Linked DNA regions of Oreochromis niloticus. The protein of the gene in region 2 purifies or fractionates together with the protein of the main gene of each other region. This does not show direct contact. Links are inferred from orthologs where the notes say so. Each region holds a gene or a part of one and is shown on either strand. Other genes may lie near its edges.

Region 1 (7,568 bases), about 26 Mb from region 2:
CTCTGGACATTAACAGGCTGTTATGCTACCAATGATCTAAGGCAGAAGGAAGAGGCAGCTGGTACAAAACATGCAGATTCCCTAGCTAGATACTACCCAGGCTGAGAAAGAAGATGAAAACTGTACAGCATAGTAAAATAACACGCTGTATATTAGCAACAGTAACATTAAGGTCAAGTAGCACGACTGGTATGAACGTAACAAGCACAGATTCTGGTGTTACACACAACTGTAGCAGAAAACTGAAAGTTTAATCGATGTGTTTTAAGCATAATAGCAATCCTTTTTCCCCATTAATTTGGCTGCTTTTATAGTACAGCGACATCTAGTGGCCAGACTACCTGCAAGCTCGTTATGGTATTACTGCATGGGTAAAGGTGATTTTGTTACAAACTCAGGAGGTTGGATCTGTTCAAAGCCAGAGTTCCTCAATATAACGCTGGAGAAATAAGAGCTGTGGTTTAATAAATGCACACAAACAGGAGGACTATATTTGCTCAAATTGATCAGTTTCATAAAGTATAAACAATGTTTTTATGTTTTATAATAAGAGTGATGGATAGTTCACCAGCAAGTGTAAAATGCCAACGCGCCGAGAAGAAACGGCACATTTGTGTATCAAAATTGACACAGTGCGCACCACGTCTGTGCATTTTATTTGTACAGTTCGATTCTGTGTTAGTCTTTCAGCTTCCGGTGCTCGGTGTGTTCTCATGTAAACTCTGCAGGGCGAGGTCCGTCCACTTCATCTCTTGCTCTTTCACAGACTCTGTCGATCCCCCGTTGTCCTGCTCAGCCTCAGGCAACTCGCTCTGCAACAAACCGGAAACAAGAAGATGGAATTAAAAAAGAAAGAAAAAGACACTTTGATCAACACTGTGATGGTTTCAAGAATATTTGATGGGGGAAAATACAGAGCTTAAACCAAAACAGCATGATCGATACACTCACCAGCCACTTCATTAGGTACACCTGTTCAACTGCTAATTAATGCAAAAATCTAATCAGCAAATCACATGGCAGCAACTCAAAGACTGTATCAATACAGCTGGCTGAAGTCCAAACTGAGCATCAGAAACTGGTGATCTGCTGGGATTTTCCCACAAAACCGTGACTTGTGTTTAAGGTAAAATAAAAATGGGTGAAAATGTCTTGTTGATGTTAGAGATCAGAGGAGAATGTGCAGACTGCTTCGAGCTGATAGGAAGGCGACAGCAATCCAAGCACGCAGAGCTTTGAATGCACAACACAACACACCTCGAAGCAGACGGACTACGGTGGCAGAAGACCACACCGGGTGCCGCTCCGGTCAACTAAGAACAGGAAACTAAAGCCACAATTCACACAGGCTCATGAAACTTTGACACCAGAAGACTAGAAAAATGTTTCCTGCTTTGATGAGTCCCAATTTCTCCTGGAACATTCATATGGTAGGGTCTGAATTTGACCTAAACAACATGACAGCATGGGTCCATCCTGCCTTGTATCAATGTTCAGGCTGCTGGGGCCTGTTCTTCGTACCTCGCTTACTACATCCAAGATCAAATGACACATCCAAGATCAAATCATCGCGCTAACTTTGAGCTCGCTAATCCGGTTCTCCGAACACACCTGTTGTTGACGATTAGTACAGCTGGATGAAGTAATCTGAGATCACTGGGTGGCTTAAAAGGGGCTACGCATCGATAGTAGAAACATTGATCGGCAACCCTGTGATTGGTCGGCGAAGATGTCGAAGGAGCGCGCTCAGTATTTCACGGCAGCAGACCAAGAACTCTTGATTGAGGGATATCAGGAGTTTCAGAGTTTAATTAAAACGCAGGGGAACACTGCAAAGGCTGCAAAAGCAAGGAGAGAGGGCTGGCAGAAAGTTGCTGACAAATTAAACTCGTAAGTGATCCATGATATGACATTATATCATGTGATATTATATTATACCACATTATATTATATTACATCATATCCTCTTTCACATTAGAGCCACAACAGGACCCACTAGAACATGGGAACAAGTAAAAGTGAAATATAAGAATATTCCACAGAATGGTAATATTTATCACTTATATTGCTTTTAGTCTCTTGAAAAGAGACCCTGGAATAATCTGTTTGTTTGTTTATAACAGCAACCAAGAAAAGGGCAGAGCAAATAAAGACAGGTGGTGGTCCTGCACCCCCTCGTCACACCCCTTTTTGTACTGTGACATTTATTGACATTGTGGGTTTTTGTGTGTGTAGTTTTACATAACACTCCATCAACTTACTGAAGCATGCACAGTAAGTTGGGATATATATATATATATATATATACATACATATACATATATATATATATATATATATATATATATATACATACATATACATATATATATATATATATATATATATATATATATATATATATATATATATATATATATATATATATATACACATACACATATATATATATATATATATATATATATACATATACATATATACACATACACATATATATATATATATATATATATATATATATACATATACATATACATATATATATACATATATATATATATATATATATATATATATATATATATATATATATATATATATATATAGAGAGAGAGAGAGAGAGAGAGAGAGAGAGAGAGAGAGAGAGAGAGAGAGAGAGAGAAAGAAAATAATACCCTCACGGGAAAGTCGATATCTCTCTATGAGCACACCGTCGCGCTGAGCTAAAGGATCCTGTCTATCCCGCAATATCCGCTGAATTCTGGAAACTCTCCTTATCAATCTTGCACCTTCCTTGCTCGCGTACAAACGGACAGGACATGGCTGCGACGGACTTCCCAAATCCACCTTCGCTTTTATAGCCGTGGTCTCTCATCTTGATTACACGAAGTAATTTACTATTACTACTCTAACATATGAATTACATCTGAAATAATCAAATACATGTAATAGCATGATTAATAGTACATTTCCCTTTTTTAAGGAAATGATCTGTATGTATCTGTATGGAATCAATAACAGAATCAAATACTGCATTATCTTTAGTTACACTGATAATATTTATTTATGGAAAAACAGTGGAGAAATATCGTTGTTGCTTTCGTATAACTGCAGCGGACATACCTGAGTGGCCGCGATCTAATCCTGTTTACATAAAGTAAGCCTGCTCCCGAGCAGGTTTACGCTTACGGATCTGTTGCTATGACAGCAAGTCTCGGATGAGCTTCGGAGAACCGAACGATCCAAGATCACGCGAAATCGTCAACATTCAAATCCGGCTAACTTACTTAGCGAGGTACGAAGAACAGGCCCCTGGTGGTGCAGTGTGTGGGAGATCTGTTCTTGGCACACTTTGGACCTCTTAATCAGAATCAGAATCAGAAGACTTTATTTATCCCCAAGGGGCAATTAACAAACAACCGAGCAGCATACATTGAAGATAAGGACAATAAGAACAGGCAATAGGAGTGAAATAATAAATACACAGAATATACAGTATATACAGTTTTAAAATTACACAGTTTTAAAATTAAAGTGACTGAAGTTGAATAAATAACTGCAAGTGACTAAAAGTGAATAAAGTGTAAGTAGTGTAGGAAGACTGTAGTTTATGTTTATGGGTGTGGGAAATGTTTTTATCGTCTTAATACCAAATGAGCAGCATTTAATGCCGCAGCCTAACTTCATGAGTATTATTTTGACCACGCCCATCCCTTTATGATCACAGTGTAACCATCTAGTGATAGCAGAATAGTTTTAGCAGGATAACCCTCAACGTTGCAAAGATCAAATAATTAAACTTGTTTCTTGAACACGATATGGTCACGGCACGCAAATGACCGCCTTTGGGATGTAGTACAAGTACGAGATTTGGATCATGGACGGCCAAATCAACAGCAACTGTGTGATGCTACCATGTCAACATGGTTCAACATCTCAGAAATGTCTCAGGCACCTTGTTGAATGTTTGCTGTGAAGAATCAAAGATGTTCTGAAGGCTTTAACCTTGGCCAGGTGTATCTAATGAGTGTATATAGTTTGTTTTTGACAAAGCAGGTAAGCATGCGCATGTCACTTCTGTAAGCCCAGAATAGGAAAGAGAAGTATACCAAAGCAATCCCCCCCCAACCATATGTGTATAAATGCTATATTTACGCTTATGTTCATATTCTCTCATTCCCCTCTATTTTATATTACAGCTCTGTAATATGTAACTTCTGTCGGTGCTCTGCTACTGGAAATTGAATTTCCCGGAGGAACCCACCCGAGGGATTAATAAAGATCTAATCTAATCTGCGTCATTGACATTAAGTAAAAAGCTAGATATTATGGAGTGTCCTCTCATGAACGGCACTGCTCGGGAACATCCTGCAAAAACATTTCTGCTTTCTGTAGTCATTGGTCCTTGTTGACGTTAACCTCAGCATTAACATTAACCAAAGACTTTACCAAAGGAATGGTGACGTCTTCGTACGGCAGCCTGTCTTCCCTCCAGGCATCATCGGTGAGATCCAGGACTCTCCCGTCCCGTTGGATTTCACTGTCCATCCTCCCGCCGAGACACAGCCGGCTGCCAATTGGCCTCAACAACAACAGGGGAGCAACAGTAACACGGATTTACGTCCGCGAACAACTCCGTTGCTGTTTGAGAGGAACAGTCGCAGTAATTCTACGTAGCCAGTTGTCACGTGCTGATGACGCAGTGTATGATGCCTTTACGTGCAGTGGAAAATACGAATCTAACGAGGTTTACTAGCAGGAGATACAATACAATTTGTCCAAATATGTGAACTTACACAACAGCAACATTTAGACTGCTACATGGCATTTATACTCCACAGTATACAGCCTTGTATGCCACCTGAAGGCAGGTTTAGCCCATCAGGCCTAATGGCTGTTTTAGAGTTTTATCTTCACTGATCATTGGGACCCAAAAACTGTATGCAGAAAATAGTCAGTCACCAGTCAAGTTCTTGCTCTGTTACAGTCCTCCCACATATTTAAAGTGATGATTAGTTGAGTTTCATGTCTCTGTCTTCTATCACTTGCATGCATGTGTGTCTTTAAGATAAGATAAGATAACCTTTATTAGTCCCACACGTGGGGAATTTGTTTGGTGTGTGGTATGTGTCTATGGTTATTTAGTGCCCCATGGGTTGTGGTATGTTCTCTATTTTGGTGAGTGAGACACACCGTCACTCTTTCTCCAATGAACATTTTGCACTTAAGACCATGCAATATCAAACAGTGACCACACACTGTGGTTTCTTTTGGTTTCTTGTTGTTGTTTTTTCTGTCTTCCTTTCTTTGACTGCCAGACTGTCTGATTTTTATCTCTGACAGCAAAGAAAAAAAACCTGCTTTTCACATCTAATCTATATTTTTCTTCTTCTCAGTCTTCTAATCAGATCTCTTTATGTTGTGTTATAACTTGGTTTACTCTGATTAGTGTTTGCTTGTGTGAGACTGTCCAGAGCATGTCTGAGAGGACGCAGTTGGCCGCATTACATCTGACATATGGGACTCTTGTATGATTTCAGAGAGATATTTAAAGAGAGGAGTAAGGTGATGCTGTATTTAAGGTATCTGAAGGAAAATAGTGCTCATTTTTGAACGTTAATGATTAGATTAGCGAGCTGGGGGATACTATTAAATATTTTAAGGTAGATTTTAACCAAAGTTTGGAAATATAGGGAAGTTTTTAACGTTTTTTTTTTTTTTCTTTTTTGCCAGGGACGATTTCTGACAGTAGCTATAATTTTTCTGCTGATGACAGAGAGTCTTTTTTTCGGTACAAAAGAGTCGGAGCCCCGTCCTCTCGCGCTTTCTTTGAAAGTCTCGTGAGATTATGTGAGGTCAAGCCACTAGTCCGCGCCTGGCTCGTCATTGCCATGGTAACCACATGTTTCTCTGTCTTCAACCCGTGACCAGTCGGTGCATTTTGTTGCGTTATTGAGTTTAAGGTAATTATATGGATCACATCGCAGTTTGGAAACAGCAACGCTTCAGTCAAGAAAAAAAATCCAGTGGTGAGAAATTTAGCGCTAGACAGATAGTGAAGTTAAAAGAAATGAATAGACATGAATTAGAGCTGGGCCGCTCTATGCTCGAAAATAATTTAATTGTAATTACCGAAATATATCTAATGTTAAATCCGTGTGAAACTAATACCATGCTAAAACCACTACTAATAACATGCAACTCTCCATCGACCATTAGTCAGTCCATATACACCTAATGTAAATGTGTAAATAATCTTCTAAATCGTTTCCCCCTCCTTTTTTAATAGAAGATCAGCAATGCCAGTCTCTCCAGAGCAGCAGGCAGAAGAAGCCAAAACATCAACCAGTCCTGGAAACCCAGTTTTCACCTGCGTGATAACTCCACAAGCAAAAGGTCTGATGTCTGCAGCGGGAACAAAGCTCGAAAGCATCATGTATAAGACCACATCTGCCGACTATGGTCGCCTCCCTCCAACCTTTGAAAGCTCTCCGTGCACTTTCCACCCCAAATCACAAAGATTCACCGAAGAGCTGAGGAAGACCGGGATGTATCGGAACTACTCCTTTAATACATCCTTGGACCGTAGCAGGGTGTGTGACTAACTGCTTTGCAGCACATGACTTTTAAAAAAACCCGAAAAAGCATACATCTCAAATGTAACGACTGCAGTATTCAATATGTGCACATGTATGAAATTAAACTATATTGTTTAGCATGTGTGTGTTTTTATGTTTTGGTTCCTACATGCTGTTAATATTACAGGTATATATTATTTTGAACCTCAGATGAATTAAAAACGCATAGGTGTTTCAGAGAGTAAAAAACACTTGAACTCTGTCGCCATTGTCAGTATAGAAATACAGAAATTCTTTGATCTGACTCACACTGGCGGGTTTAAAACCATCTAATTAGTTAGTAACATATTTTTAAAAATATATTAAATGTAATATTTGTTTTTCCTTTCGTTTTTTGAAGGTGGGGGTGGGATCACTTTAGTAAATGTTTCAGGCTGAACGAATGAAATTTGTTCATTTTCGCTGCCATTAGATGGAGAAAGGGGGTCAAATTTAAAGGTTACAAGTCTTATAGTTCCCCTCTGCTGTTCTGGACTCAGGTGTAGCGTACCATTTCTTTAATTCTTTGAACTTTGTGATGCACAATCAATTTCCTTTTTTAAATAAAATAATTAATTAATATATTTCTTATTTTAGACCATAAATATATTTAAGTTAAAAAGTAAAACCATTAGGCCGAACTCGTATGTTCACGTAACATTAAAGAGAAATCCTCCCTTCTCCTCCAGTCTCGCCTCCGCATCCACAGCTGACGATGACCAACCTTTTAGCTGCCAGCGCTACGGAACTTAGCGACCAGCTAGCGCTCCTTAGTAGCGTCGTTTAAAATGTGTACGCTATGACTGTGTTGCTGTTTTACTTCAGCGAAGGTGTGTTACGGCGGAATATAGACGGGTCGTGTAAATGTGTCCTGATACCCGAGTACCGCGCTCAGCTCGTTGTTCCTCTCGTTACCTAACTTGTGTAGTCCGACGGGAGAATCGGAGG
Region 2 (7,181 bases):
AATCAGACACAATTCATACTAAACTTGAACACCTTTATTTTGAACTTCGTTTTTGAGCTGCTGTAAGTTCCTGCTCAGCTTCACTTGATGCTGTCGGTCAGACAGAATGACACGCTCACAATGATCAGCATCTGTTACAATGGTGAAATGATCTTAATACACCTGCTGACATGTTAATCTCACCACAGAGCTCCACCTCACTGATCTCCAGGTGTGGGTCACAGACAGGTGTTGCACCTGAGGCATGGATTTCCTCTCATCCAGGTAACTTCAGGTTATGCTGGGTTTCTGTACTATTAAGGTCGGAGACTTCCTCCTCATGCAACTCACTGTTGTAACTGATGGGATTTACCCCAGGTTAGAGATCAACAGGTATGAAATCACACCTACTGACCAATCACTATTCCTGGATGATCCCTCAGAGCTCTGCAGGGAGAGTTGCAGGGTGTTTTTCCCTGATCGTCAGTAGTACAAACCGGATTCCAAAAAAGTTGGGACACTAAACAAATTGTGAATAAAAACTGAATGCAATGATGTGGAGATGGCAAATGTCAACATTTTATTCAGAATAGAACATAAATCACGGAACAAAAGTTGAAACTGAGAAAATTTATCATCTGAAGGGAAAAATATGGTGATTCAAAATGTCTTGGTGTCAACAAATCCCAAAAAAGTTGGGACAAGGCCATTTTCACCACTGTGTGGCATCTCCCGTCTGGGGACCGAGGAGACCAGTTTCTCAAGTTTAGCAATAGGAATGCTCTCCCATTCGTGTCTAATACAGGCCTCTAACTGTTCAATCGTCTTGGGCCTTCTTTGTCGCACTTTCCTCTTTATGATGCGCCAAATGTTCAAAAAAGATCTGGACTGCAGACTGGCCATTTCAGTACCCGGATCCTTCTCCTACGCAGCCATGATGTTGTGATTGATGCAGAATGTGGTCTGGCATTATCTTGTTGAAAAATGCAGGGTCTTCCCTGAAAGAGATGACGTCTGGATGGGAGCATATGTTGTTCTAGAACCTGAATATATTTTTCTGCATTGATGGTGCCTTTCCAGACATGCAAGCTGCCCATGCCACACGCACTCATGCAACCCCATACCATCAGAGACGCAGGCTTCTGAACTGAGCGTTGATATCAACTTGGGTTTCTGCGCAACATTGTGGGAATTGGTGATCCTCTACCCATCTTGGCTTCTGAGAGACACTGCCACTCTGAGAAGCTCTTTTTATACCCAATCATGCTGCCAATTAACCTAATTAGTGTTAATTGGTCTTCCAGCTCTTCATTATGCTCAAATTTACTTTTTCCAGCCTCTTATTGCTACTTGTCCCAACTTTTTGGGGATTTGTTGACACCGTGAAATTTTGAATCAACATATTTTTCCTTTAAACTGATACATTTTCTTGGATTAAACTTTTGATCTGTCACCTACGTTCTATTCTGAATGGAATATTGACATTTGCCATCTCCACATCATTGCATTCACTTTTTATTTACAATTTGTTTAGTGTCCCAACTTTTTTGGAATCCGGTTTGTAAACACTCAGTTTTATTCTTTTCTAAGCATCAATATCTGAGCCTAAAGCCCCTTTTCCATTAGTACGACTGGTTTTCCATAACAATCGAGTACCACCTGATCTGTGTGATCGTCGTCACAGCAACGACGCCGAGTTTCCTGTGAAGTAATTAATAACCAACACGAATGCTACAACAAAGGTGGACATGGAGGCGACGATATACCTGCTGCTCGGTCTCTGGCTTTCAATTAGACTCAGGGAACGGGGCATTGTTTTTTGTAGCCATTTCATTTCGTTGCCTGGTTTCAATAATGGCGTTTTTGATTTCATGAACAAGACGCTTTCATGACTCATCGAGTGGTACCACTGAGCAGCCAATCAGTGGCATGCAGTTTGACGACGTCACATTTAAGTACCTGCTTGGAACCCCAGCCCAGCAGGTATTATAAAAGTACCTGGTACCAGGTACTATGACCTGATGGAAAACCCTTGAAACCGTGGCGAGTACTAATGGGAAAAGGGCTTAAAACACCTGCGCTGTCCCTGCTGACGTCAGGTCAAGTCAACTGAGAGAAAAACACTGTGTTAACGTTTCTGGATTAAATTATGTTAAGAGTCCACGTCTCACGACCCACAAGGATCTGTGTGATGGCCACACTCAGAGCTGTTCCAAACACCAATGAAAGGAGCTTCAATGCTTCCTTTACTGAACAGATGAGACACTGGAGCATCCTTTATGAAAGGGAAGGAGCGACAGACTTATCTGACTGTTCATGAAAACAATCATATAAAAACCAAAGTGGAGCAGAGCATGAAAATGTTCATCATAACTTTTCCATTTCATCCATAAGCTGCTGATATATTCATAGTTTTTAACAGAAGCTGATAAACTCACAGCTGAACTCAGAACATCAGACTGCTGGAGAACTACCTCCTGTTGAGTTGTTACTGCATGAAGAACAGATTTACATAAACACTCTAAACATTAAGATCTCTATGAGCTGCTCACTAAGTTTTAGCTTGTGAATATTCATCCAGTTGTAGTACACTGTGTACCAGAGTTGCGCCTCTTTCAACGTTTAAGGCATCTTCAGTAAATCCAGCAGACTTTTAACCACCATCAGTACATCTGAGCCTGAATCTTTGTTCTTTAAAACTCCACGCTGGGTTTTTTTTAACAGGCAGCTGACCTGGCACAACAAAGGCCTTCGCAGAATCAGGCTGAGAACATGCTGTGTTGAATTCAAATTGTATTTGTAGTCCATCCTCTGAACTTTTGAGTTTCAACACCGCGGACATGTTTACAGGCGCCGCTCTAGGTGACCTCTGACCCCGTCCCCGTGTTAGGGTCAATGATAACGAAAACAGAGATTCGTAGTTCAGACCTCTAAGCCTCCTCCTGCAGCTCTGCACCGATCAGTAATCGGTAACTCCTCACTGTTTCTCACCTGTGAGTGTTTCAGGTAAAGCTGTGCAGTCAGCGGAGTCAGCGCGACCCCGGAGCCTCTTCGAGGGCTGAGTGGCGGTAACACGCCGGAGTACGAGCTAACGGATGAGGGGGTAGAGCACAGTACGGCTGATCTACGCTTGGACGTTTGCCTCACCTGTGCAGTTGAACGCAGCGGCTCAGAGTGCCGTTAAACCGTTGAATGAGACATACTTACCGGAGGAAACGAACGACGCGCCTACGCGGAGCTTCGTGACCCGGAAGTTCTGAAGTGTCTCCGGCTCAGAGGTTGCACACTTCCGGTGGACACAGCAGCTGCAGAAAATAAACAGAGAGAGAAACGGCGGGAAAGAGCATTACAACTCGTATATCAGGTACCTGCACACCTGTTCACACTGAGGGTATCCGCGAGGACTGTCCGTTACCGGTCACTGTAACGTCACTGCGACTTCACTTTAGCGCAGCTTAGCTTAGCTTAGCTTAGTTTAGTTTAGTTTAGCTTAGCTTCTGTGAAATCCATCTGCGTGCGCACAGTGCGCATGAGTGGCGACTTAAGGAGCGGAAAGGTCAGGGGTCAGAGGTGAGACTGTTATAGCCAAGGTATGTCAGCAGCCAGTCAGATGAGACCTTTAAAGGTGTCTTTATAACCTTCAGGGCATCCTTTAGAAAAGCAAGCGAGCTAATGACTGAGTGGTGATCAGTCGCAGGAGATATTGCTCCAATTGATCATTGAATCACGAAGTGACTTCTGTGCAGGAATAGGTGTTCTCATGGTTTTTCACAGTTTTTCAGGCTGCTGGTTCTTTTCTGGTGTTTCCTTCTGCTGCCATCACAACAGCAGACCCATAGTACCATCCACACTCATTTGACTGACCAATCTGAGAGCAGATCATGCTACTGGTTCCTGTCTAAACGGCAGGTGTAGTTTAGTTTCTATTGCTTTAGAAGCAGCTGGATGCCCTGAGCTCCGCCCTGAGGCCCATACCCCGGGTATCTCTCGGTTACCCTGACGTCAATAATCAGGAGGAGACTTCAGGAGTCAGTGTTGCCGTGGTGATAAGTTACCTGGACTCCTGCTGTGGCTTTATATCAATACGTTCATCATCAGGATCAAACACAGACATCAAACAGTGTGATCAGTGATTCTGATAACAAATATCAGGAAACATTTTTTAGATCTGATCGATCCTAATTATTGATCTGATGGAAACGATAACTGATACTGATTGCTGTTATTTATCAGATTTCAGAATAAATTAAAGCTTCTGTGTCTGAGCAGAAATAAATGATTTATTGATCCTTTAACCTTCATCACTTGACTTTTCTCCTTCCTCTGAAAACTTTTGAAGTCAACCTGCTCAATATAGGCATCATCATGACAACAGGAGTTGTGGTCTTCTAAGGTTTTATTTTGAAATTACAGGCGGCTGCTACGGCCTCATGATATTCACAGTAAAAGCACAACAGCTTGTTTCTTTTTGTGCCACCATCAACTTTAGAGGCTGTAAAGATAACATAACATAAGATAAGATAAACCTTTATTAGTCCCACACATTGGAAATCTTTTGGTCACAAAAGCATCTGGAAACAGGAGGGGTGACTTCAATAGAAGCGTGTGATATTTTATTTTGAAAAGGTTCAGGAAATGTGTGCAGTAAATCATATTCATCAGTTTTATAGAACATTGAGCTTGGAGGTGAATCATTTTCATCAGTTAGGATGTCAAAAAGCAAACAGATACTCTGTTGTAATCTGAGTACTCAATCGATATATTGATCATCTGCTTTCAGCGTGGACACAAACTGAAAATGTTGAGGAGGAAACCGACTCGTCTAGAGCTTAAGATCGACGACACTGAGGAGTTCGAGAGCGTCAAGAAGGAGCTCGAGGTCTTCTCACTTTAGTACCAATCAATCAGTAACAGTCAATGAGAATGAATAACAATCAGTAACATCTGAGACTTTAAAGGAAGTAAACTGCAAACAGGACATTATCAGGTTTTCTTTTTCTTTAGGCCAGAAAACGTCAGCGAGAGGAGGCAGAGTCGGGAGGTGGAGTGGGTGGGGGCTCTGTAATTGGTGTTGATGTCATTGGGGGTGGAGCCTCTGCCTCCGCATCGTCCTCTACAGCCACATCAAGGGCAGAGCTTATCAATGAGCGAATCGGCTACAAGCCCCACCCCAAACCGGCGACCCTGCCAACCTTATTTGGAAGTTTACAGTTTTAATGATGAATAAAGTTTGAGCAAAAAAATCTTTGGAGTATCATTTTTTTTTACATGAGCAAACATAAACAATGTCAGAGTGAATCGGAACTGTAAGAAAAACATCGTGACCAATACAGGTGCTGTGTTGTACAGCGGTGAGGTGCCAAATTATGTTTATGGGGAGGCACAACTTTAGACTCATATGTATTCACAGTGACACGAGGCCGTCTCTGGTGCTGTTTAAGAGTTTACATTTTTTGCTCGATTATCATTCAGTGTACAATCCACTAAAAAAAATGTTTTTTTCCAGTCTGGAATCATTTTGATATTAAAATGCTAAATAGGGTCAATATTTTTCTTTCCCGTTTCCTCTTTTAACTCAGATGAGAACTGAGCAATTAAGTTCCAATTGCTTTTTTTTCAAATGTATTAACATTATTTTATTTGCACATAAATGTGTCACATACAACACCAGCACTAACATTGCACATTTTTCACTTATACTTTCTCGTAAATTCTGCATTTGCATCATCTTTTTCTTACAATCAACTTAATTTAAATAAACACACTTCTCTTTAATTCAGTTAGCACTTTGTAAACAGGACCATTCATCACTGATTTGATGTCCAGAATAAACCTAGTTCAGACCCTCTCCACCCTCTTCATCCAGGTTACCTGCAATGTTTTTTAAATCCAGCAGATGTTGCTCTTGAGCAACACATCACCACAGTGTATCAGGCATCATCTACCCATCATTAGGGTTCAGATCTTTACTCCTTAACTCACCTGCTTAAAGTCTGTATAGAGGCATGGCCTCTTTGGCTGATAGGTGAATAGCAACACAGTGGTGTTGCTGTAAATGCTAAACTACACCTCTGGACAGCATTTGTGCTGTTGCAGCATTTTGAATGGACATCAAACACAGACTTATTTTCATACAGTTTATTTTCATAATAAAGGTACAACAATAATATTTTATAAAGACGATTAGTGTCGGAACTCAGAAAAACTTGTATTTACAGTAACAGTCAGTAGGTGGAGCTCTCAGCTCTGACGTCCAAGAAGTGATGCTTACCAAACACTACTCACAGTTCTTTTAGTGTGAACACATGGCAACCAGAAAATATACAAAGTGCTGGTGATAAAAATCCAAACTGTTTGGTCAAAGAAACTTTCTGGGGAAAAAAACCAAAAATAACCTTGTGGGCGTGGTCTGTGTGATGAAACTGTGCATCATGCGCTATTAACAAATTAGCAGTGATGTGCAGAGAAACCTGGCCCCCTAAAAATAAAGACGTAAAAATTTTTATTTTTTAGTGTTTTTAGTTTTTGTTGGAACACATTTTTGTTTTGTTCGCGTTGGTGTTTCCAATTAAGTTTAAACTGATTTCAATGACATATGGGGCTCAGTTATGTTTCCTGAGACAACATCGACAACAAGCGGTTTCTGTCTTTTAGATCTTTAAGATTTTAAGATTTTCCACACTAAAAGCTTCTTCAGATTAATGGCAGAAATAAAAAAAATAAATTAAATAAAACAGATTTAGTGTTCAGAGCTGATGGTCAAAGGGAAGGATGTGTGGCCGTTGTAACAGAAGGGGATTTCACATCATTTCAACTAAAACATAAAAATATTTGAGTTTATTAAAAAAAAAAAAAGCTTGCACAAACATTTTAGCAGCTTCTGTTTGTTTGTAGTGTTGTTATTGATTCAGTGTTTGTTTACTCTGTTTGTTTATCATTTAGTGTAGATCGATCGATCAATTACTGATTCAGTTTCTTGACTCAAGGCTGGCATCCTTCCTGTAATGCAGTGTTGTGTGTTTTGATCTCGGAGTCTGCGATTGGTGATCTTAGACTTTAAGGGAGTGTCCTCAGATAGGCCACACCCACCACTGTGTCTGTGATAACCTCATCACTTCTTCTTAATAGCGGCAAGGTCACGCTGCAGCTCGGAGAACTTGGGCCGGTCCTCGGGGCTGTACTGCCAGCAGCGCTGCATCACT

Evidence for each region.
Region 1: the proteins of cdc26 (region 2) and anapc13 purify together in Homo sapiens (affinity purification with mass spectrometry; 4 studies listed by BioGRID and IntAct, counting the BioPlex papers as one, with this or other methods). This does not show direct contact. The link is inferred for Oreochromis niloticus from reciprocal best matches to the Homo sapiens genes CDC26 and ANAPC13.

Annotation. Positions count from the first base shown.
Region 1 is NC_031972.2:64,184,195-64,191,762, forward strand, and holds anapc13 (anaphase-promoting complex subunit 13), read right to left. Parts: upstream 4,707-7,568; 5' UTR 4,552-4,706; coding exon 4,453-4,551; intron 813-4,452; coding exon 687-812; 3' UTR 445-686; downstream 1-444. Other genes in the region: pierce2 (uncharacterized protein C15orf65), read left to right, coding at 6,303-6,608. UniProt on the Homo sapiens protein: Component of the anaphase promoting complex/cyclosome (APC/C), a cell cycle-regulated E3 ubiquitin ligase that controls progression through mitosis and the G1 phase of the cell cycle.
Region 2 is NC_031972.2:38,211,355-38,218,535, reverse strand, and holds cdc26 (anaphase-promoting complex subunit CDC26), read left to right. Parts: upstream 1-3,216; 5' UTR 3,217-3,343; intron 3,344-3,355; exon of another isoform or gene 3,356-3,549; intron 3,550-4,759; 5' UTR 4,760-4,777; coding exon 4,778-4,858; intron 4,859-4,983; coding exon 4,984-5,196; 3' UTR 5,197-5,224; downstream 5,225-7,181. Other genes in the region: tyrosine-protein kinase Fer, read right to left, coding at 7,091-7,181. UniProt on the Homo sapiens protein: Component of the anaphase promoting complex/cyclosome (APC/C), a cell cycle-regulated E3 ubiquitin ligase that controls progression through mitosis and the G1 phase of the cell cycle.